Linked DNA regions of Arabidopsis thaliana. The protein of the gene in region 3 purifies or fractionates together with the protein of the main gene of each other region. This does not show direct contact. Each region holds a gene or a part of one and is shown on either strand. Other genes may lie near its edges.

Region 1 (8,508 bases), about 27 Mb from region 3:
AGTTGCCTCAGTATCAGAGTGGCATTCTGTCTCCATTGACTGACTTGGACTTTGACTATGGTGGTTTTGGTGATGATTTCTCATGGTTTGGAGCTTAGTGTCTTGCCATTTTTTTTGGGAGATTACATAGTAAGTTTTTTTTTTATTACACAACACCATCTCATATATTTGATCTTAGTTTATAGATTTGATGTATTTTGTTTTACTGTTATTTTTGTAGGTTCAAAAGGACATGGCAATAGTCTGGCTAGTACAGTTACTTTCTCTTCTTCATTTCTTCTGATCTTATATTCTTCCTCTTTTTTTCTTATAATATTTTCTTAGATTTGTTAAGAGAAACAATTTTCCTTTTGAATAAGTTGCCAGAAGAACTGCTTTGCCCGTTGTAATGGTCTCTAGGGAAAGCAGTTAGCGTATCATCATTTGTAAATTTACCTGTGAGTAATTCATCAAGTTAAGAGAATCATTATTTGTTTCTTTTGAACTTCCCAAGTTTTCATTTTTTTTTATATATTTTTGAGCTTGACTTTATTCTTTCCTAAGACTAAAAAGTATATGGGAGTTGACTGGCTGGGAAGGTCAAAGAGGAAGGAGACACGTTGTTAAATAAACTACTACAAGGCTCAAGGCCAGGTGAAACGGTCTTAAAATCTGAAATGCTGGTTTTAGAGTCTGTGGGTAGTGTTCCCAAAATGGCTGAGATCTTTGCAAAGATGGTTTCACATTACACTAGTTCTAACCCGAGAAGAGTGCAAATCAAATAAAGACAGACTAATCATACAGAAAACAAGACTTGATGATGAGAAAACTCAGGGCTTCCATAACTTCATAGTGCAATCTTCACTATAGGTAGCAAGGAGGTTTCTATGCGGGTGGTGTGTTATACCAATCACATCCTTCTCATGCACCTGTCATAAGCATAAACTATTCAGAAACCAGGTCTAATAAAAGACAACTAAGATAAGTATTAAGAGAGAGAGAGAGAGGATGATAATCTGAGCTCTAAAATGGAGAACAGATGAATCAAACATTATAACACACAAGGGACTTCATTACTCTAGTGAGTTACTGTTATGTGTTTGTCTCAAATGCAACTTTCAAATTTCCAACATCCAAAATCTTTTGGAGCATGTCTGTTACGGATATAAACTTACCATCATGAAATGCTCAAGTCCACCAGATTGATAGTTGAAGCAGTACAGTTTCCTGTAGGTGCAAACACCATTACGAACATCAAAGGCAGAAGATGAAACCCGAAAAGAAAGGAACCATAAGATTATCCTTTGAAATCAAACTCGTGGAACTTATCCAAAAATAAAACGATAGATATAGGAGGTTAGAGTGTTACTTGTCTTCGCCGATGCAGTATATCCAATCTCCTTTTGTAGATACACATGCTGCTACAAAATCTCCTCCTTCCCTATTACCGGATGAGAAACTCTTCACAACCTGCAAAAGGATTCCAATATAGAAGCATGTGAACAATCTTAGTTTTGGCATGACAATGACACTGATTTGCAGGAGACCGTTGCTGGAAATTTACCTGTCCTTGGAGTGTCATAATGTATATAGATGATGTCTTGTTGCACACAACAATGTGTTCTGTGTTTTTGGGGAACAAGTGAATAGAGTTGACTGATGCATCAGTTCCCTATATTTCAAAATTCAGACTTGGTAACCAAAGAGTTTGCCACAGAAGATCAGAAAAAGTATTACAAGATGTACATAAATCTGTATAAGAAAAGATACCCTTAACGGAGGTGGCGGCTTGAATGTTTGTAGACAATCTGTCGTCTTAGAATCCCAGACCTGTGCAAGGAAACAAGACTGTTATTACACGGCAGAAGGGGCAGAGAGTCCAAATGAGAAACAATGATACTGCTGACAGCCAAAGCCGAAGAATTTACCTTTACTGTACAATCACTGGAGGCAGTGATAATACGGCTTCCATCACTTGTAAAGATGGCATGATTTACATAAGATGTGTGACCACGAAATTCTTTCAACAATTTCCCAGATTTCAAACCATGGATTCTGCATAAAATAAAGCAAAATATATAATAAGAATTTGATATTATATTCGACTAGAAGCTCTACCAATAAACTTACATAACTACCAAATGAAAAGGAAAATATTAACAAAAACAAGAAGAAAAAAGATGCAATCAAAAGTTAAAAGAATATTCTACCATCAAAGAAATATAAAGCCTCAAGTTTTTGATAGGACGAGATTCATATCGCAAGTACAAAATAAAAAAATAAAGATATAACTAATAAAACCTTGCAGTTTGGTCAAAGGAGGTACTCAGTAATTGGCTTCCATCCCGAGAGAAGGAAAGACTTGTAACTCCTTGGGAATGTGCATCAAAACGACGTATGCATACACCAGTCCTTATACGCCAGATCTGCAAAAGTGACATGCATCTAAGTCTAGTTTTTCTATTTGTATTCAATCAGAATACATATGGGACCAATGAGAGGAAGAAGATATATCTACCAAACTGCCGCAATAGTCTATCTTCAGACAAAAAATTCAACTTTAAGGAAACATATGCAGCTGGAACTTACTTTAATCTTTCCATCTTGTGACCCAGATGCAAGCATCTCTGAATCTCTGCTAAAGTCTATGCAGAGGACAGGATCATCATGCATCATGAAAGATTCCTGTCAGAAATTAATCATAGTAAGTAAAGAGGATGGAATGGGAACTCTTTATCCAAAACTGATATTTTGTATACCAGGAAGTCTCAGACGAGATACTTGGTGCTTTAGGAGTTACATTGGAGAAAAAATTAAAATTCAAAGATAACAGTAATCCACCATATACTTGGTGCTTCAGGAATCTCATGGGCGACATTTTTGGAATAAAAAGCAAAAAGTAATCCACCATATCATTCTCACAGACTTGTCACACGTTCAATAATCAGATGCAGTAAGGATTATTTTCATTTGATTAAAATGTACTAACAGCTCATCTGACCCCGTACTGAGTTAGAATTAAAAAATGAAAAGAAGACATGAGAGCTTACATCAGCTTGATATTGCAAATCCTTCTTGAGCTTTCCACTTATGTAATCCCATACCTGTAATGCTTTTCAAGTCTGAGCAATCCTAGTCACAGAATTATTTTAAAGACTAATAACTTGTATTATCATACATACAGATTCCGGATCAACTCACCTCGATAAAACCATCCACAGAAGAAGATGCAAGAAACTGTCCATCTGGTGAGAATCTAGCGCATTCTGCATGACTCTTTTTACCAAACTGCACCAGCACCAGCACAAGGAAAAAGATATGAAAATTAGACAAGAACTCAACTGATGAGAAAACCCAAAATAATCATGAGCAACAGATCATAGACCACTAAGCTAAAGAAGCTATTAAAGTGTGAATATGAACCTTTATGGTATGAGTAAGAACATTAGGATGTGTGTCTTCTACATCTTGCTTCATAGCTGCCGTCCCACGAAAGAGGTCAAACTGTGTTCCTGGAGGGAGCAGGCCTGACACAAGTGTATGTAAATTTTAGGAAATGAGAGAGGGTACATATGTTGATTCCATTGATATATTAGTAATGTAGGCAAAAAAGTAAAAGAAAACGAGATGAAGTTTGACAGAACTGTTTGGTAGCATCCACAGTTCCTTAGATAATCACCTTGATGTTGTTGCCACTTTAAAGCCTGACCTATCAAAGCCATTAACCGTGAAGGTGGTACCACGGTAACCTCGGCAGCCACAGCTGATCGAGTAGGAGAACAAACAATTAGTGAACCTTGAGTACATACTGAGCAAGAGAAAACAAAAACTCTATAACCATTAAACAGGAAATAAGTTCTCGTCATAACTTCTTTTCATGTCATAATAATATTTAAGCATGCAATAGAGAGAGTATTCCAGAACATCACTTGGTTCCTTCAGGTAATTAATCATACAATAACTGAAGAAAATTGTTATTGTAGAAAATAAAGAAGAAATGGCCAACCTTGAGCAATCTGTGCCCGTTTTCTTTCTTTAGTTGAGTCTCCATAAGCCTTAGAAACAAAGGTAAAATTAGCAAACCATGATTATCACAAGGAAATGATTACATGAAAAACGCCACTCTTTGTGCATAACATGAACAATGACTAGGAGACAATACACCTCAAAAGACTAATCAGATAGAAAAGTCAAATCCATCAACATGTAAAAGAGCTAGTAACATGTAAAGATACTTTTGTACTCAGAAATACGAGCATGTGTTATACTTTGAGACCCTCATCTAGAAACAACTTCATGTTTAACCGCTCACTGGTTCTACTTAAGATTTTGAAAGATATCAAAAGTCGCAAGTAGAGTACAGAAAATGCAAGAGATAACAGATATAGCAACATTGTTTGAACTGTTGAACAGTTGCGGACAACCATGCTTAGGTGACACAGCAACAACAAAAGCAACACCCAACGTGATATTGAATAGTCGAGCATAATATAGTTTCCATACCTCATGCGGATCAAAATAGCTTCTGACTAGAAGATGCTCCATCCGCAAATATCTTTCTGCTTGCTCCTGCTTCATGACACCCATCACCTGAGTTTGTCTCAAAATAGCTCGGGCAGTGTCCAACTCTCGAAGTTCTATCATCTCCAATACAATCTGAAAAAATCACCCCGAAAATAAACAAAACTTACAATGACAATCACTATTTTTATACACTTCTACATTTCACAGAGTAAAAGAACAAACCTGTTCATAAAGGTCTTCAAGTTTATTCCTGGGAAGTTTAAGCTGGGAAACTTGAGGTAGTACCGAGTCCCATCTTCCACTATTAATATCAGAAATAAACGTCTCGACGCTGTCTACTGTATTCAAGGAAACCTGACACTCGCTTTGTAATGTCTGGAATGTCTGATTCAAGGAATTTTCTTTGCAGAACTGAAGCATAATCTTTATTACACTGAGACATTCAACACAATAGAGAGCTATTAGGGATGAAGATCTACACAAAGCTGACATATAGCATCAAAACGTTCTCCATCCAATATTACTAACAAAATGGCTAATAATACTGTCAATGGTTTCAATCCAAGCCGAGAATTAACAAGAGTTCAAATTTATACAAATTGGATTTTTCCTCGAGACGCATTGCAAAGAATCAAAACACTCTAACGATGATCTCCCTCAAATTTTCGTATACGACGTTAATTTAAACGAAGAATAGCTACGGAGGAATCTAGATATTCAGAAGCAATTAGCTTTAGAAGAACCAAGCTAAAACAAATTATGGGTAGATTTAAAAACCACAACTTTAGTATGGAGGATATAAAAAAACCAACATTCAAGATGTTTTCTCCAAACATGTAACCTAAGATCCATCTGAGCATTCGTAAACGATGGTTCTTGGAGCACAATTCATATCAGTGACACTAAACGAAAACTAGGGTTTGTAAGAGAAAGCGAAATCTTACTCTCGAGCTTCGATTTCGAGCGCCATACTCAGTCGTAGTGGGTTTTCGCCGGAGACGCTAAGAGGTAAAAATGCAGCAGAAAACACACGCGAAGGAGTTTCAATTTGGTTTTAATTCCAGGACAATGCCTCAAATATCAAATATTATGGGTCAAAATTAAACTTTCAGAAACTCCGAGTGTTATTTTGTAAATTTAAAATTGCAAAACATTGCTTACATACCATTTAGCTTTAGCTTCACACCCTTTTTTTTTACAACTTTTAGAGAAAGACAAAGACAACAATAAACACATTGACACTGTGGTCTTCAAGAGTTCTCCACTGGTTCGTTCCACTCCTCTGTTCTTCAACTCTAGAGCTCCATCATCATCTTCATTGCTCACTACTATTACTTTCTTGAGATCAATAACTGATATACTTTGACTGAAGCTGAGAGACTCTTTGTTCCGAATGGAAGGAATTTGCTGGCTACTCTGTTTCATATCTTCCATGTTGATATTCATCACCAGTAACTGACAAGATTCCAAATTGGAATCAATTCCAGAACATCTGGCTCTTTTCATGGGCTTTGATGCTATACAATTGAAAATAAGAGCAAGCAAGACAGGAGAAAGATGTTCAATCCAGAGACCAAAACCAACAGAAGACCAACCCGATGATGCAAATCAATCTATTGTTGTAAGGAGCGTATGCTAATTCCTCTACCAAAACCATAGCCAAAGGTGCTCGCTTTTATAGATTTGACCCTGTGGAACCTTTTTTTTTCTTTCTATAACAGTTTTAAGATACACATTTCTTTACCAGAGATCAATCTGAGGCTTAAGTATGCATATTTCCTTTGGCTTCTGTGAAACTGTACAGTCCATTTCCACTAAATCCTATATTCTACAATATTTCTTACATACATCTGTGGCTACACTTCAAAATGCCTCGTCTTCTTCAGAATTTTCCTCTTCATCGTCTTCTTCTTCTTCTCCAGATCTTGAACTACACTCCCTTTCAGCTTCAAAAGCAATGCTCATCTCTTTCTTCACCACATCAGCCAAGTCCTGTCTGTTTGCACTCACATAAGCATCTCTAACTGCTTTAAACAACGATTGGCTTGGTTCAAGCTCCCCAAACGTCAGCCGGCTATGTACCCTCTTCACACCTTCCACCATTCCCGCTTTCCCGTATATCCCAACAAGGTAGGCTTGCGTGACAATATCTGGTTCTAGACCTTTTTCCTGCATTCTCATGTATGCCTTTAGGGCCATGTCAATGTCTCCTGATGCACTATAAGTGTATATCACTGCGTTGTATGCAAAATGCTCGCGAGGAATTTCACCACTTGTGAGCTCTTGGCATGATTCCAGCGCATATGCATACAAACCCATGGCTGAGAACAGAGTTGCAGTGATTGCTGGTGTTGCCAGTGGTTTAGCTTCATTGTATGCGGTTTGTAGCTGCGACACAGCTTCACTTGGCACCCCACCTTTCTTCAAGAGCGTGAAGAGCGTTTTAAATGTTCCCCAATCCAGCAAGAGCTTTCTTTCAACTAACATCTCATGAAACAGTTCACAGCATTCACTTAACTGCCCATCAGCAGCGTAGCAAGCCATAACCTGATTAAATGAAGTGCAGTCACTTAGTAGACCAGACTCTCTCATTTCTTCAGCCACTTCAATAGCCTCGTCGAGCATGCCCATGCCCTTGTACAAGTACATCATTGTTGCAAACGAAATAACATCACATGTGCCTTTTTCTCTGAGAGCATTGAAAATGGATTCTGCTTCAGAAACTATGCCAAGATCTGCACACAGACTTAGCATGCTGTTTGATGCAGCAACATCTGGGCCACCTTCTGAATCCTTCATTTTGTCATACACTCTCCTAGCTTCTTCAAGACACCCCACTTTGCTATAAGCCTTGATAAGGGAAGTCAGAACGATATGATTGGACTGAACGCCATGTTCTTCCATCATTCTAAAGTATTGAATCGCTTCTTCGACCATTCCACTCTCAGCAAACCCATTAATTAAGGAACCATAAACAACTTCATTCGGTTTCACCCCTGTTTTTTCCATTGCCTCGTACAGGTCAACTGCATCAGACAACAGGCCAAGCCGCACATAGCTAGCTATCATAGCAGCATAGGTCTTGCATCCAGGTTTACAGCCCGAATCCAGCATTTCAGCCAAGATCCGCTGGGCTTCGTCCACTAAATCAACCCCAGCAAGCATCTGGAATAGGGAATTGTAAGTGCACTCATCAGGCCAAGTCCCTTGGTTCTTCATCCCTTTGAAGAGAGAAAGTGCTTTCTCATGAAGTTTGGCCTTACCATAAGCCTTGATCATGACATTGTACTCCAAAACATCATTCCTCTGGCCTGACATGTTTCTTTTCCCATAGAACACAGTCTCCGCTTCAACCCACAGTCCCTTTTCAGCATAGACATCAATAACTGCTGCAAGTGTCGTTGACGAAAGCACACAATCCAACTGGAACCTCTCAAACAGAGCTTTTGCCTGTACGACTAAACCTTCATTGACATACATCTGCATAATAACAGGAACAGAGTGCTCATCAATGCGAATGCTATTTCTGTCCATCTCAGCTATCACAGCTTCAACTTCTGCAACCATTTTCCGCTGACACAAGATATGAAGAACAGCTCGATGAGTTACAGTATCAGGAAAAAGTCCTACTTTCCTAATTTTCCTATAGTACTCAAGAGCTGCCTCAATGTCCCCAGCATCAGCATGAAGAGACAAAAGGATATTATATGTCTTAGTATCAGGGGATATCCCTTTCTCTTCCATCTTCTTCAACAAGGATTCAGCCTCTGACAAATGCCCATGAGTTCCACAAGTATGTATCATCGTGTTAAACGTTACAGTATCTATAGGTACTCCAGATTTCAACATCTCCGAGAAGAGATTAGCAGCATCGTTTAAACGACCTGCCTTTCCATACAAATCAATCAGAGTGTTGAAGGTGGAAGTTAACCTTGGCTTCCTCGGAGAAGAGTCTGAACCAGATGCAAAATGCAGACTTTTCTCAATAGGATTCCTTGCACCAAC
Region 2 (5,915 bases), on a different chromosome or scaffold from region 3:
GTAAGAGACAACACAACTGAGACTGGAACATGTTACACTTTCAGAAACTCCTCCAAGAGGAAAGAAAACTACTAGAGAACACAGTTGCGGCTAGAAAGAAGCTGCTTAGTGACTGCAGAATTCTCCACGACCGGCTTAAAGAGTACAACTTAAATTTGTCAATGGATGGAAACGGTAACTTTGTCGACGACTCAACTACAATATCAGACGTTTTGCGTTTACTGTCAATATCTGATGATCAAATTGAGGAGGTATTGCTGCATCACTGCTTTATTGCCATTTAAAATCAGTTTCCTCTAATAAGAGTTACTTTTCACGATATGTCCATCAGGATGAAGTTATTTATTACTTATTAGTGTAGGATAGTTAGGTTTCCGCTGCACTAATGAAAACTGTAACGTTGTGCATTTTACAAGTTTTAACGATTTAGACCATTTTCAGGCTCAGCTACTTTCTGGGTTTGACGAAAATGCTGCTGCTGAAGACATCGATAAAACTCTCAGCATGGATACTGAAACAAGAATTATGGAGGACGAGCTGAGGAAGATACTGGCAAACATTTTTGTTGAGAATGCGAAATTGAGAAAACAGGTGAACTCTGCAATGCTCCGTGCTCTCCAAAAAGACGTAAAGACCACTGAAGATGTGAATGAGGAAAATAGTGATGAGAAAGATGAAGCATCAAGAGAAACATTGAAGAGATAGGTAATAATAATAATAGTCGCTTTGACCTGAGAATAGACTGCCATTTTTTTTTCTCTATAAGCAAAGGACTGGTCGCTTTATAATACAAAACGGTTGGTCTCTTGGAGGAGCAAATTAGTTGAAGCTGAGTGTTGTGTAATCGATATATATACACACACGTGACACCACCCTTTTGAGAGTACATAAGGCAAAAAGATGTGTATTAAGTATGTTTGTTGTATAATTGTATTGCACTCTGTTGCATATATTTATTGTGATCCGAACTCAGTTCTTGCAAACAAAGTTGGAATTGTAAGGATTTAGGTTATACAAATTGTGTCAATTGATCATCATTGTCCTCAAGTATAAAGCATGTTTCTTTCTTGAAGCAGAATTTGTGGCTTCTTTCTCCAGGTATTTCAGACATTTCTTTATAGCAAGCAATTTTGAGGGAAGAAAACTGAAACTAGATAGAGAATATTAAATGCTAAAAACCTTTATCATCATCTTTGGACAGGATGAAGAAGTTAATGACATTTCCTTTAGCGCTCATAGAGCACACTCAAAAGTCTATGTGCGTGAATCCAGCTCATTCTCTAATGGTTTCAATAAGTTTTGATTAGTTGATAAAGTTACAAGGGGCAATTATAACAGTTTTCAAATTATTGAAACACTTAGGTGTATTATCACAAAAATAAAAAGTTAGGTGTCATTGGCAATTTAATACAAGTTTCTAATTTGATGATATACATGCATTAAACGTGCTTTGCAGTTTGTGCATATAACGAAATTTAGTGTGTATTTTAAAAAGCATCTCCTTACTTGTGCCCTGAAGTGTATGCTTATAAATTTAGTTCTCATTGTGTCAGCAAACTGTGTGTTATCAATTGCCTTACTCCAATGGCTTCAATAAGCTTACTTCAAGTTTCCGTAGCTATCCTTTGCTTTCTCATCCTTCATTACTTTCTCTTCAAGAAACCTCATGGCCGGTACCCTAGGAACTGGCCGGTTCTCCGGATGCTACCCGCTATGCTCAAGGCGCTTCACCGAATCTACGACTACAGCGTGAAGATTCTCGAAACCTCTGACTTGACCTTTCCATTCAAAGGACCGCGGTTCACAGGAATGGATATGTTGCTCACGGTTGATCCAGCTAACATTCATCATATAATGAGCTCAAATTTCTCAAACTACATCAAAGGACCGGAGTTCCAAGATGTTTTTGATGTGTTAGGAGACAGTTTCATCACCACGGACTCGGAGCTATGGAAGAATATGAGGAAATCTTATCAAGCCATGCTCCATAGTCAAGAGTTTCAAAGGTTTTCAATGAGTACCATGACAAGTAAACTCAAGTACGGTCTTGTTCCCCTTCTTAATCATTTTGCTGAGGAAGGAACAACTCTTGACTTGCAAAGCGTCTTCGGGAGGTTCACTTTCGATACAATTTTCATCCTTGTAACTGGTTCTGATCCTAGATCTCTCTCCATTGAAATGCCTGAAGACGAATTTGCTAAAGCTCTCGACGATGTTGGAGAAGGGATTCTTTATAGGCATTTTAAACCAAGGTTCTTGTGGAAGCTGCAAAACTGGATAGGATTCGGACAAGAGAAGAAGCTCACTGAAGCTAATGCAACTTTTGACCGCGTGTGTGCCAAATACATATCAGCCAAGAGAGAAGAGATTAAAAGATCACAAGGGACTTCCAATGGAGGAAGTCAGGATCTTTTAACTTCCTTCATAAAGCTAGACACGACCAAGTACAAGCTCTTGAATCCGAGTGACGATAAGTTCCTTAGAGACAACATCTTAGCTTTCATTCTAGCGGGAAGAGACACAACAGCCACCGCTCTCTCTTGGTTCTTCTGGCTTCTCTCTGAAAATCCACATGTGGTAGCCAAGATTCATCAAGAGATCAACATCAACACTGATCTATCAAGAACAGGAAATAGCCAAGAGAATGTAGACAAGTTGGTGTATTTACATGGTGCGTTGTGTGAAGCAATGAGACTCTACCCACCAGTTTCCTTCGGACGCAAGTCTCCAATCAAATCAGATGTGCTTCCAAGTGGCCATAAAGTTGATGCAAACTCTAAGATTATTATCTGTCTTTATGCATTGGGGAGGATGCGAGCGGTTTGGGGAGAAGATGCATCGCAGTTCAAGCCAGAGAGATGGATTTCGGAGAATGGAGGCATAAAACATGAGCCTTCCTTCAAGTTTTTGTCGTTTAATGCCGGTCCAAGAACTTGTCTAGGTAAACATCTAGCTATGACTCAAATGAAGATAGTGGCAGTGGAGATATTACGAAACTACGACATTAAGGTTCTCCAAGGACAGAAGATTGTGCCAGCTCTTGGTTTTATATTGTCAATGAAACATGGTCTTCAAATCACTGTTACTAAGAGATGTTCTGCTTGAAATTATTCATGTATTAAATAAAAAAATCATTTTGGTTTGGTTTTGATTTGGTTCTTAGTTTTTTTTTTTAGTTTTACGGTTTAAGTAAACCGAAATCCTAATATTGACTGGTTCGGTATAGTTTTGGTTCAAAATTTGCGTGCAAAAAAAAGAAGAGACTGTGCAGTGTTGTTCCTTTCTGGGTTCTCATCGTCGTCAAGGAACAAGCTTTAACAGAGTTTAACATATATTAGGGTTCTTATCTCCAAAACCCACCTCACTCATGGCTGCCAAAGTTTCTGTCTCTCCCACAAGCCTCTTAAATCAGATTGTGGTCCGTATATCTCTAAAAAGTTGGCTTTTTTATGATTTCGATTCGATTTGGTTACAATGAAGCATGGTGTTTTCAATTTTTAGGTTCCAGGTGATGTTGTTCTTGATTTGTCAAACATGAATAACCAAACAATCAAGCTCGGAAGTGGCCTTCTTCAGGTTTCATCTTCTTCTCTTTCTTATGTGTTGTTTGAATCCTAACAATTATTCCAGTGGGCACTTGATTTGTGATATACAATTGCAACTAAAAAGGAATTGTAGATTGACATGTGTTTGTTTTTTTGGCTTATTTTAGGATAATGATGCTATCTCTGCCATGAGAGCTGGCAAATTAAGTTACTCCAAGCCTAATAAGTATTGGCTCGAAAGTTCTCATAAACGGGTGAGCTCAGTGGTCTTACTAATCTTCCCTTTCTGGTTGCTTCTCTATTGAGCTTCTTGTGGATTATAACTGTGTCATCTGCTCGGATACTAGGTCCACTTGATTAATCATGAGTAGAAAAGTAACAAATAACCTGGCACAATTGCATCATGAAGAATTGAAGATTTGCCTTTTGTAGCATTTTGACAATTTGATGCTTTTGTGGATCATTCTTGCTAGTTTTCTCCCTAGTTATTTGATCATATACATCTGGCTTGATAAGACAATTTACCATTTTTGGTTTTCAAAACTCTAGTAGAATATTGTTTTGTTAATTATCTATGTAAGTCTCGTTCTCTTTGTTGCTGACTCTGTTATTATGTTTTTTTTTTGCAGTATATACCTCGCCCTGATGATCATGTTCTTGGAATCGTGGTCGATTCTAGGGCAGATGTAAGTCCTTTGAAATCATTGCTTGTATAGATTCTTGTGTTGTTTTTGGATCCCTCTCAGACTGGTCATCTCTGAAAGCATTTTATTATACTTTAGTTGTCAAATACGATACAAATATATGTTTGTCAGTTTCCGCGACTTCAGTCCTCATTTCTCTGAGCCAATAAAGGTGAACTTGTTTGTTGATGGTCTTGGATCAGTAAATAAATAGGTGGGAGTATTGAAGTTATGGTCTAAAATCAGAAGAAAACTGATACCATTATTGGACAAACAAATGTTAATTGACTTTTAAATTATCAGCTGCAGTTAAGCTTTCTTGCATGAACTAACATCGCCTTAGTAAGTACTGAATTGTTTCTTTTACTCATCATGTCATTGCAGAATTTTTGGGTGGACATTAAAGGACCTCAATTAGCACTTTTGCCAGTTCTTGCATTCGAAGGAGGAACACGAAGAAATATTCCCAAGTTTGAGGCATGTACATTCTGATGACTCAGGAAGCTCTCTTGAATTCTCATTTGGGATATGACATTCTCTATGAATTGATTGTTTCTGGAATGTTCAAATTTTTGTGTACTAAACAGGTAGGCACTCTGCTTTATCTCCGGGTTGTCAAGACAAACATAGGAATGAATCCGGAGCTGTCTTGTACCGAGGGTAAGTTAAAAGCTTTGGAGGCTAAAACAGTGCTGCTTCTCTTAATCCCTTTTAAACTAATTGTCTCTTGTTTCTATGTATTAGCTAGTGGGAAAGCTGCATTATTTGGACCCTTGAGAGATGGTTTCATGTTTGAAACTTCAACTGGTCTTTCAAGAATGTGAGATATACTTCCTCATAAAAAATGTCTCCTTATACTTTATCTATCTTCTTTCGCCATTACAACTTTACTTTCTCATCTCTTATAGGCTGTTGAATTCACCAACGCGCCCGGTCATTGAGGCTCTTGGAAAGAAACTCTCGTTCGAGATAGCTGTGGGCTTAAATGGCAGAGTTTGGGTAAATGCGACAGCTCCACGTATAGTCATTATCGTGGCCAATGCAATAATGAACTCGGAATCTCTAAGTGGGACTCAGCAGAGAATCATGGTTGAGAAATTGCTCGCGATAATTTCAGACTAAACGTTATTGTTCTTGAAATGTAACTGAACCCTCATGATGCTCTTTATAGCAAGTGATTTTGATTCATTCAAATACAATTTTATACAGTAAAAGTGTAGTCTAAATAAAAATACATATGCCACATGACGAATGCTTAATCTGTATACAACAGTAGTCTAAAGGTTGAAGAAATGATACATAACATTGTTAAAGCGAGGGAGGCTCGTATCTGCATACACAATCATATATGTTTCCTTTTATCAACTTCTCAGCCAATCTCTGATTTTTAACCATTGCTAGCTGCCAAAAAGGAAGAGAAGGTTTCAGCCAAAAGTTTCAATAACAGTTCTAGAGCTGAAATTTTCTGTCAAGTGAGGTTTAAACCTTGAGAGCCTCGCATTGGAATTGAGCGTTGAAGTTGGTGTGAAGTGCTCTTCCCATACCTTCCAAGACAACCTGCAATATTGTTAAACATCAAATAAAGAACAAAGCTTCTCTTTTTTGATGTGTTTGAAGTTTATGTCAGGTAGAAAACAGAGAAGGTTTTGTAGATACAAGATCAGCGTCTTTGGCAGCGGCTGCAAGC
Region 3 (6,869 bases):
GGTATCAGAGTTACAGACTCAGAACCAGTCTTTTTTTTTGAAGCAGATTTTACCGACCTAGCAGGTAAGGCAGTTATATAGCCCTTTGCATCTACCACTACCACAGGTGAATCCAACTTACTGTTCTTTCTTACAAAACAGCCGCTATCCTCAGCTAATGAAACTTTCACTCCAATCTCTGCTGTTATCTTTGATGAAGAATTTCTTGGCACAAATTCAGAAGATGATTTGACTCTTTTCTCTAAAAGGAAGCTGCCAACTGATGCAAACTTTGCCGCCTTATAGCCACTGCCTTTGCTGTAAGTCCTAATTTTTTCCACACATGATTTTTGCCGAAGCATTGCTATCTCTTTTTTAGTACGGCCTTTTCGACAAGATACCAATTTTTCATCAGAGACTAGAGTAAATGATGTACTTCTCATGCCTTGACAAGAAACAGTGCTACCCGAGCATACTTCTTTTCCTGGTGTTGTTCCACTAGACTGAGTTTTTTTGGAGTTCGGTGTATTTGGGAAGTTTCCAAATTTGAGTGGCTCATTCCGATTGCTTTGAGGATCGGATTGGGGAGGCTTTGGGTTATCTGGGTCACTAGATTTTGGAGGATTAGATTCAGCACCAAGAGATTCCGAATCAGATAATTTACTTGAACTCACCAATCCATCGCCTTCAGCTTCAAAGGCTTGCAAGACATTCAAGTCGCACATCAAAAGCCTCCACATAGCTTCAACTGTTGATAGGGACGGCCTGACCTCCTTAATAAGACTTATCATTTCTACCAACGTATAGGAAACAAGCTGTTGTAAATCCTCAAACACATAGTCTCCTGAACCAGCACCTTCGTCTCCAGTCTTGAGAGCACTCAAGGTGTTATTGACAATGTTTGACAAAAGATTATTGCCTCCACAGTACAGCCTACAGCGTGATACAGCTTTCAGAACTTCGTCATCGGTGTAGCCTAAATCAATAAGCTGCTTCATTGTATCAAGGAAGAGCGTGAGCAAATTTGACGACAACAATTCTTCAAGATGACAGGCAAATGGGTCATCCCATTCGACAGATTCAGACACTTCAACTTGCAGCTGATTAGAAACTTCCCCAACCGATCCATTTCCGCTCAAATGGTTCTGAGGTTTCAACGAAGGTAACTCATATGGAGGGAATTCAGTGAGGGAAGAAGCATTTGGTTGAGAAGGATCAGCTAACTTTCTCTTGTTTTTCCTTCCTTTTTCCTGAGGTGACACTGTAAAGGCTTCTACTTTGTCAACATTGAGACCACATCCATTCATCTCTTCTTGCTTTTGAACTATACTCATCACCTTTTTAATCCATTACACATGAACGACTTAAGTTAAACACACACAAAAAAGCGTAGAACATAGATACGAAATTGTTTCATATGCAAAAACCATTAAAGTATCAAAGATGTTAGACCAAAATCATCTAAATTATCTGTATACATGCAAAAGAGAGATGATTTCATCTCCTAGTTGTAGCTTTCAGAAACGTGATTCAATCGCCTAACTAATGCAATCCCAGAAATACGCCAAAAAAAAAAAGTAAACTTTTTGCCTAGTAAATGTACAGAGATTCCTCAAATCTAAAGCGTACTACTTTCTGATTAAGTGCTTAATCGCAATGCAATTCAGAACCGTTACTGAATCGAAATTAATTAAAAACCCCAAATAATCGCACGATCATTCAACCCACAAACAATCACGAATACACCAAAATGGATTTAAAAAAGGCCGTAAACTGACCTTCAACGAAGACAATAGCGACTTTAAGGAGAACGGCGCCGGAACAAAAATAGCGGGAAATAAGATCGGTAGCGACAAACAGAGAGTGAGAAATCGAAGAAGAAGAATATTGTTTTGGGAGTGTGGAGCGAGCGAGAGAAATTGGCCGTAGAACACTGTTTCGTGAATGAGAGAAGAGGTTTGGTAATCGCTGTTATTACTTGGATTCTCATGAGGGTATTTTAGTCATTTCCCAATTATCCCTTCTCCGAGCTAAAAAGGGCAGCGAATCTTTTCTATGTTGTTTCTGCAACTGTAGATCCTTTCACAAAACGAATTTCAGCTACAAAAGTCGAAACCGATAAATTCATGAATGAAAGAAGAAAGCCGTCTCCAAAAGACATAACTCGACTAATCTAATCTGATGTACAGTTAATAGTATCAAACACATCCATCATACTACATATCTCAATCAGATTAAAATTCGAACTTTCAATAGAAGCTGAGTAACAAACAAGACCGAATGATCTAATACACGTTACAAGTCTCTGATACATCAGTGACAAAAAGGGGTAGTTTTCACTTTTTCCTCTTTGTACGTCTTCTTTCAGCTTCATTCTCTGCTACCACAACGTGAAACTCTGATCCAAGCATATCATGTATGTCAATATTCTTTGAGTTACTGAGGTTAACAGTCTCCATGATTACTTCTAGTGTCACGGTGAAGCCTAGATTAGACAAGACACGTATCGCATTCCCGATTCTGCATATGGTTTGTCGAGTCTCGAGTGGAATATGGCTTTGCTCTTTTCCTGTGGAGGAGGATGAGATCATTTCCTCATCTTTCTGATCATCTATTGCCATAGGATCTCTCACTTCGACATGTTCTCCAACCCATATGAAACCATTGCAGCCAATAATCAAATCAATCCCAAGACTTTCTACGTAATGAAAGTGATGTTTGCTTCTCTTAACCAAGTAAGGATCGACCTTCAGAAGTTGTCCCTTCTCGAGCTGTAGCGATTCATGGATTAATCAATGTTCAGAGGAAGAGACTAGCGAAAGGTATAACTACATGAGCATGTGACCAAATGAGAACCAACCTTGCCATACTTCTGACTTCTGGCTTGTAACTGCAAGCTACCATCATGCTGAAAGTTGCGTACTTCAGCCTAAGAGTTTGAACAAACCAAAGAGGGAACCCTTTTAGTCAGGTTGACGTAACTGTTAAGATATGTAAAGATTGGAACATTACTAATCACAGGACTTACACATACGACATCATGCTCTACAAAGATATTCCGCATATTGAGTTCATCCACAGAGGTTCTTCGCCTCTGGCAACAACAATAAACTTATATCATTGAAGCCAAAAGCAATCATCCAAATGGCAAAATATCAAGAATCAAACTGTACCTGAATACCATCAGGCATGTTCATGGAAGAAAGCATCAGTACTCCATCCTGATTGAAGTTGAGCTCCACTCTCCAACGTTTTTGAGCAACCTGAATAAGTAAAGATCAATCCAGTAACTGTGCAATGTGATTGAAACCTTTATGTTACTCACTCAATCCGATTTCAAAAATCCAAACACCAAAACAAAAATCTACCTCAATGACACGGCCTACCACAATATCCCCAACTTCAGGCTTGTACCTAAAACGTAGATCATCAAAACCATCAGTTCTACTTAATCTCAGAGTAGAGAGTCCATTCTATTCACATTTTCTGGGAAACTAAACAAATTCAAAGATCAATCACAGACCTGGCTCGCAAGGTGCGTACATAGACAAGCTTATCCACACGCTCCACTACTCCACAGACCGTCGCGAGCAACTCACCATCGACCTCGGAAGTTCCATGTCCCCTTTAATGAAAAAACCAATCGTGAAAACGCAATTTGACAAAAATTTCAATCCAGAAGGGAGAATGAGATGAAATTACTTGAGGAAGGCATCGTCATGGTTGACGGGAATAGAGTCGGTGACGATAACAGAAGCGTCAGAGTTAGCCGACGACGACAGTGATTGAAGCCGCTCGATTGCTCTCTCAAACCTAACCTTCTGCGTCTGGCTCAACGGTAACTGTAGCTTTCTCATCACCATCACAGACACTCTCTCTCTTTCTCTCTATTTAGCTCCAGCAACACAACAATGGCGATGCAAAACGAGTTTGGGACTTGGGAGAGAAGAAGAGCAAAAACCTTGACGTTAGTTCCCTTGAATGAATTCTAGGGTTTTGTGTTATTTGTTGGACTAACATATCCAACTTCTGGCCCATTTATAAAACTTCTGGCCCATTAATCTGATAATTGACGCCAAATAAAGTATTATTTATCTTCATTAAAAAAATGGGAAAAAAATTAGACGTCTCTGCAGCGACAAGCTTCAAGTCTTTTGTGATCTTCCTATTTCTGACGCTAATTCGAATCCTTCACTCTTCAAATTGATTCTTTCACGGATCAAACAAATTATCTGAGAGTACCGATTGGTAAGATCTGAGCTTTACGCTATGAATTTCTTCAAATCCGTCTTCACGGAAGACCTAGATCCTCCAGAAACCGAATCCGAATCCGATTCACCGAAACACAGCGAAGAGCATGAACATCCAGAGCAAGAACATCCAGAGCAATCTGAATCTAACGACGACGGTGGATGGAGCTTCGGTGGTCTGATGAAAACTCTAGCCACCAGATCCGAATCCGTGATTGAAACCTACCGACGAGATCTCGAAGAATTTGGCACAGGTTTGAAGAAAGAGATCGAGGTGGCTCAGGGATCGCTTGGTACGGTGGGACATGCGATTGATGAGCTTGGGAACACGGTGCTAAAAGGTACGGCTGAGATTATTGCTCAAGGTAAGGAAGCGATTTTAGCCGCTGGTAATGAATCTGATTCTTCTGATAACAATAGTAGTCAGAGTTTTGGTCGTCGTGATAGCTTCAGTTCGAAACCATATAGTCGTTTCGATGCTCAGATTCGTGCTGTTCAAGGAGATCTCAACACTTACTGTGAAGAGCCTGAGGATTCAGATGATTACAAAAAGTGGGAATCTGCGTTTTCTCTGGATGGAAAAGCTGAGGAGATGGAGAAATTGTTGGAGGAAAATGGTGATATGAAAGGAGTGTATAAAAGGGTCGTTCCGAGTATGGTTGATCACGAGACCTTCTGGTTTAGGTATTTCTATAGGGTTAACAAGCTCAAGCAAGCTGAGGATTTAAGGGCTAATCTTGTGAAACGAGCCATCTCTCTGGATGATGAAGAAGAATTGAGCTGGGATATTGATGATGAAGAGGAGAGCAGCGAGAAAGTTGTTGAAGCTACCAAAGATGTTTCAAGGTTGAAACTTGAAGGGAATGATGGTATGGGTGGTGGAGATGTGAGTGAAACTGTGAAAGATGAAGTGGAAAGTACATATTCAGTGGCTAAAGTGAGCACGCAAGATGAAGTGACAAGTGCAGATTCAGTGACTGAAGTGAGCAATGTTGGTTTGAAGACAGATAAAGATTCTGAGGAAAAGAAGGAGACTGATAGTGAGGAAGTTCCAGAAGAAAAATCATTTGTTGATGCTGCTCCTCCTGCGTCTGATGAGGCTCCAATCCAAGATTCTGTCAAACCAACATCTGATGAGGCTCCAATCCAAGATTCTGTCAAACCAAAATCTGATGAGGCTGCTCCATCCCAAGACTCAGCTAAACCAGATGTGGCTGCTTCTTCATCAACTCAACAACCATCTGAAGAGGATTTGGGATGGGACGAGATCGAGGATATGAGTAGCATAGATGGTAAGGAAACGAGTCGGTCTGGTGGTAGTCCAAACAGAGCTGAGCTGCGTAAACGTCTGAGTGCTGCAGAGGAAGATGAAGATTTAAGTTGGGACATTGATGAAGATGACGAAGAAGAATCATCATCATCCAAAGCTTAATGTTAGTTTTAAAGTGGTGTGCTTTCTTACTTTTGCCAATCCTTTTACTTGTTTTTACAAGTTTCTGGCGCTTTGCCCCCATTCTTCAGTTGTTTTTCTCTTCAACGTTTCTATTTTACATTGATTTGAAAATATGTTTTTAAATTTTACTTGAGAAGGTGGTTTGAGGAAAGTTTGAATATATTCATCTTGCGATAGTCATTCTCTCCAGTTATTTTGAGTATATCAATCAACTGACCCCTGCGAATTCGGAGCTTTAATTGTGTCAAAATTAATCTCAATTTCTGTCCTTTGTGAAGAACCAAAAAAGTTAAATATTACAAATTGTAAAACTTTTAAAATTAAAACTTCTTAAAACGTTTTAATATTTATAATTTTAAAACTCTTATGAAGTTTTATATAATATATATATTTAAAAATATATTAATACGGGACGATATAATACAATATATTTAAAACTTTTTTGAAGTTTCAAATATTATATAGATTTGAACTTTATAAGAAAATGACAAAATGATGTTTAATTTCACAGAACTAGGATATATGGTGAGACGGTTTGGATCAATATTAATACGGAATGATATACTATGGTAAAATTCTAAAATTAAACAAAATTTACAATATTAATACAAAAAATAACTTAAAATTTCAGAAATTTAGTTATATAAATCATTTCGAGATGTATCATACATAAAAAAAAGCAATAGCATATATCTATAAATCATCTTTAAAACAAAAAAATAAAAATTTTTGAGAAAAATATAGGCTCGTTGTGTACTTCTTAATATGTTTATCATTTATAAATACTATTAACTAAAATAAAATCTTTAACTTGTTAACAAAAATATAAATACGTTGTGTACCCGGATGAATATCTAGTTATTAACAAAACTGTACCATTTGTTTTGTAGAATTTTACTTATTATTTTATTTTTTGGACCAAACCAACTTATTATTTATTGGCATGTCTAGTTAGGGAAAATGTTTCAATTGAACATGTACCGTATGTGTGCATGTATAAATAGAAATTTTATGATTGGATTTTAATAATGCAACGAATCGATGTGAAACTATTAGTGTAAAACCACAATCGACGTCCTTTGAGAATTTACTGGTAAGAAGAACACAGAAAAGGATAGAAAAGGATCTGGATGGATCCAAGAGAAACCCTCGCGTGAGTAATTAACCCTCACTTAAACCCCAATCAC

What was found.
Region 1: the proteins of RRP4 (region 3) and SMU1 fractionate together in Arabidopsis thaliana (co-fractionation; one large-scale study listed by BioGRID). This does not show direct contact.
Region 2: the proteins of RRP4 (region 3) and AT4G32175 fractionate together in Arabidopsis thaliana (co-fractionation; one large-scale study listed by BioGRID). This does not show direct contact.

The regions. Positions count from the first base shown.
Region 1 is NC_003070.9:27,722,024-27,730,531, reverse strand, and holds SMU1 (transducin family protein / WD-40 repeat family protein), read right to left. Parts: upstream 5,542-8,508; 5' UTR 5,474-5,541; coding exon 5,448-5,473; intron 4,937-5,447; coding exon 4,726-4,936; intron 4,636-4,725; coding exon 4,483-4,635; intron 4,035-4,482; coding exon 3,986-4,034; intron 3,743-3,985; coding exon 3,659-3,742; intron 3,507-3,658; coding exon 3,403-3,506; intron 3,268-3,402; coding exon 3,181-3,267; intron 3,084-3,180; coding exon 3,030-3,083; intron 2,665-3,029; coding exon 2,569-2,664; intron 2,406-2,568; coding exon 2,281-2,405; intron 2,035-2,280; coding exon 1,908-2,034; intron 1,810-1,907; coding exon 1,750-1,809; intron 1,652-1,749; coding exon 1,544-1,651; intron 1,450-1,543; coding exon 1,349-1,449; intron 1,207-1,348; coding exon 1,155-1,206; intron 909-1,154; coding exon 810-908; 3' UTR 501-809; downstream 1-500. Other genes in the region: EIL3 (ETHYLENE-INSENSITIVE3-like 3), read left to right, coding at 1-98; AT1G73710 (Pentatricopeptide repeat (PPR) superfamily protein), read right to left, coding at 6,367-8,508. UniProt on the Arabidopsis thaliana protein: Auxiliary spliceosomal protein involved in splicing of specific pre-mRNAs that affect multiple aspects of development. Required for proper accumulation of SMU2.
Region 2 is NC_003075.7:15,532,188-15,538,102, forward strand, and holds AT4G32175 (PNAS-3-like protein), read left to right. Parts: upstream 1-3,246; 5' UTR 3,247-3,367; coding exon 3,368-3,418; intron 3,419-3,501; coding exon 3,502-3,576; intron 3,577-3,712; coding exon 3,713-3,799; intron 3,800-4,174; coding exon 4,175-4,231; intron 4,232-4,612; coding exon 4,613-4,705; intron 4,706-4,815; coding exon 4,816-4,888; intron 4,889-4,972; coding exon 4,973-5,048; intron 5,049-5,136; coding exon 5,137-5,350; 3' UTR 5,351-5,415; downstream 5,416-5,915. Other genes in the region: AT4G32160 (Phox (PX) domain-containing protein), read left to right, coding at 45-251, 442-705; CYP96A2 (cytochrome P450, family 96, subfamily A, polypeptide 2), read left to right, coding at 1,585-3,105; PANK2 (pantothenate kinase 2), read right to left, coding at 5,537-5,629, 5,714-5,785, 5,885-5,915.
Region 3 is NC_003070.9:821,626-828,494, reverse strand, and holds RRP4 (ribosomal RNA processing 4), read right to left. Parts: upstream 3,979-6,869; 5' UTR 3,843-3,978; coding exon 3,682-3,842; intron 3,605-3,681; coding exon 3,503-3,604; intron 3,394-3,502; coding exon 3,348-3,393; intron 3,243-3,347; coding exon 3,153-3,242; intron 3,074-3,152; coding exon 3,008-3,073; intron 2,909-3,007; coding exon 2,840-2,908; intron 2,751-2,839; coding exon 2,316-2,750; 3' UTR 2,096-2,315; downstream 1-2,095. Other genes in the region: AT1G03365 (RING/U-box superfamily protein), read right to left, coding at 1-1,313; AT1G03350 (BSD domain-containing protein), read left to right, coding at 4,249-5,661. UniProt on the Arabidopsis thaliana protein: Non-catalytic component of the RNA exosome complex which has 3'->5' exoribonuclease activity and participates in a multitude of cellular RNA processing, maturation and degradation events.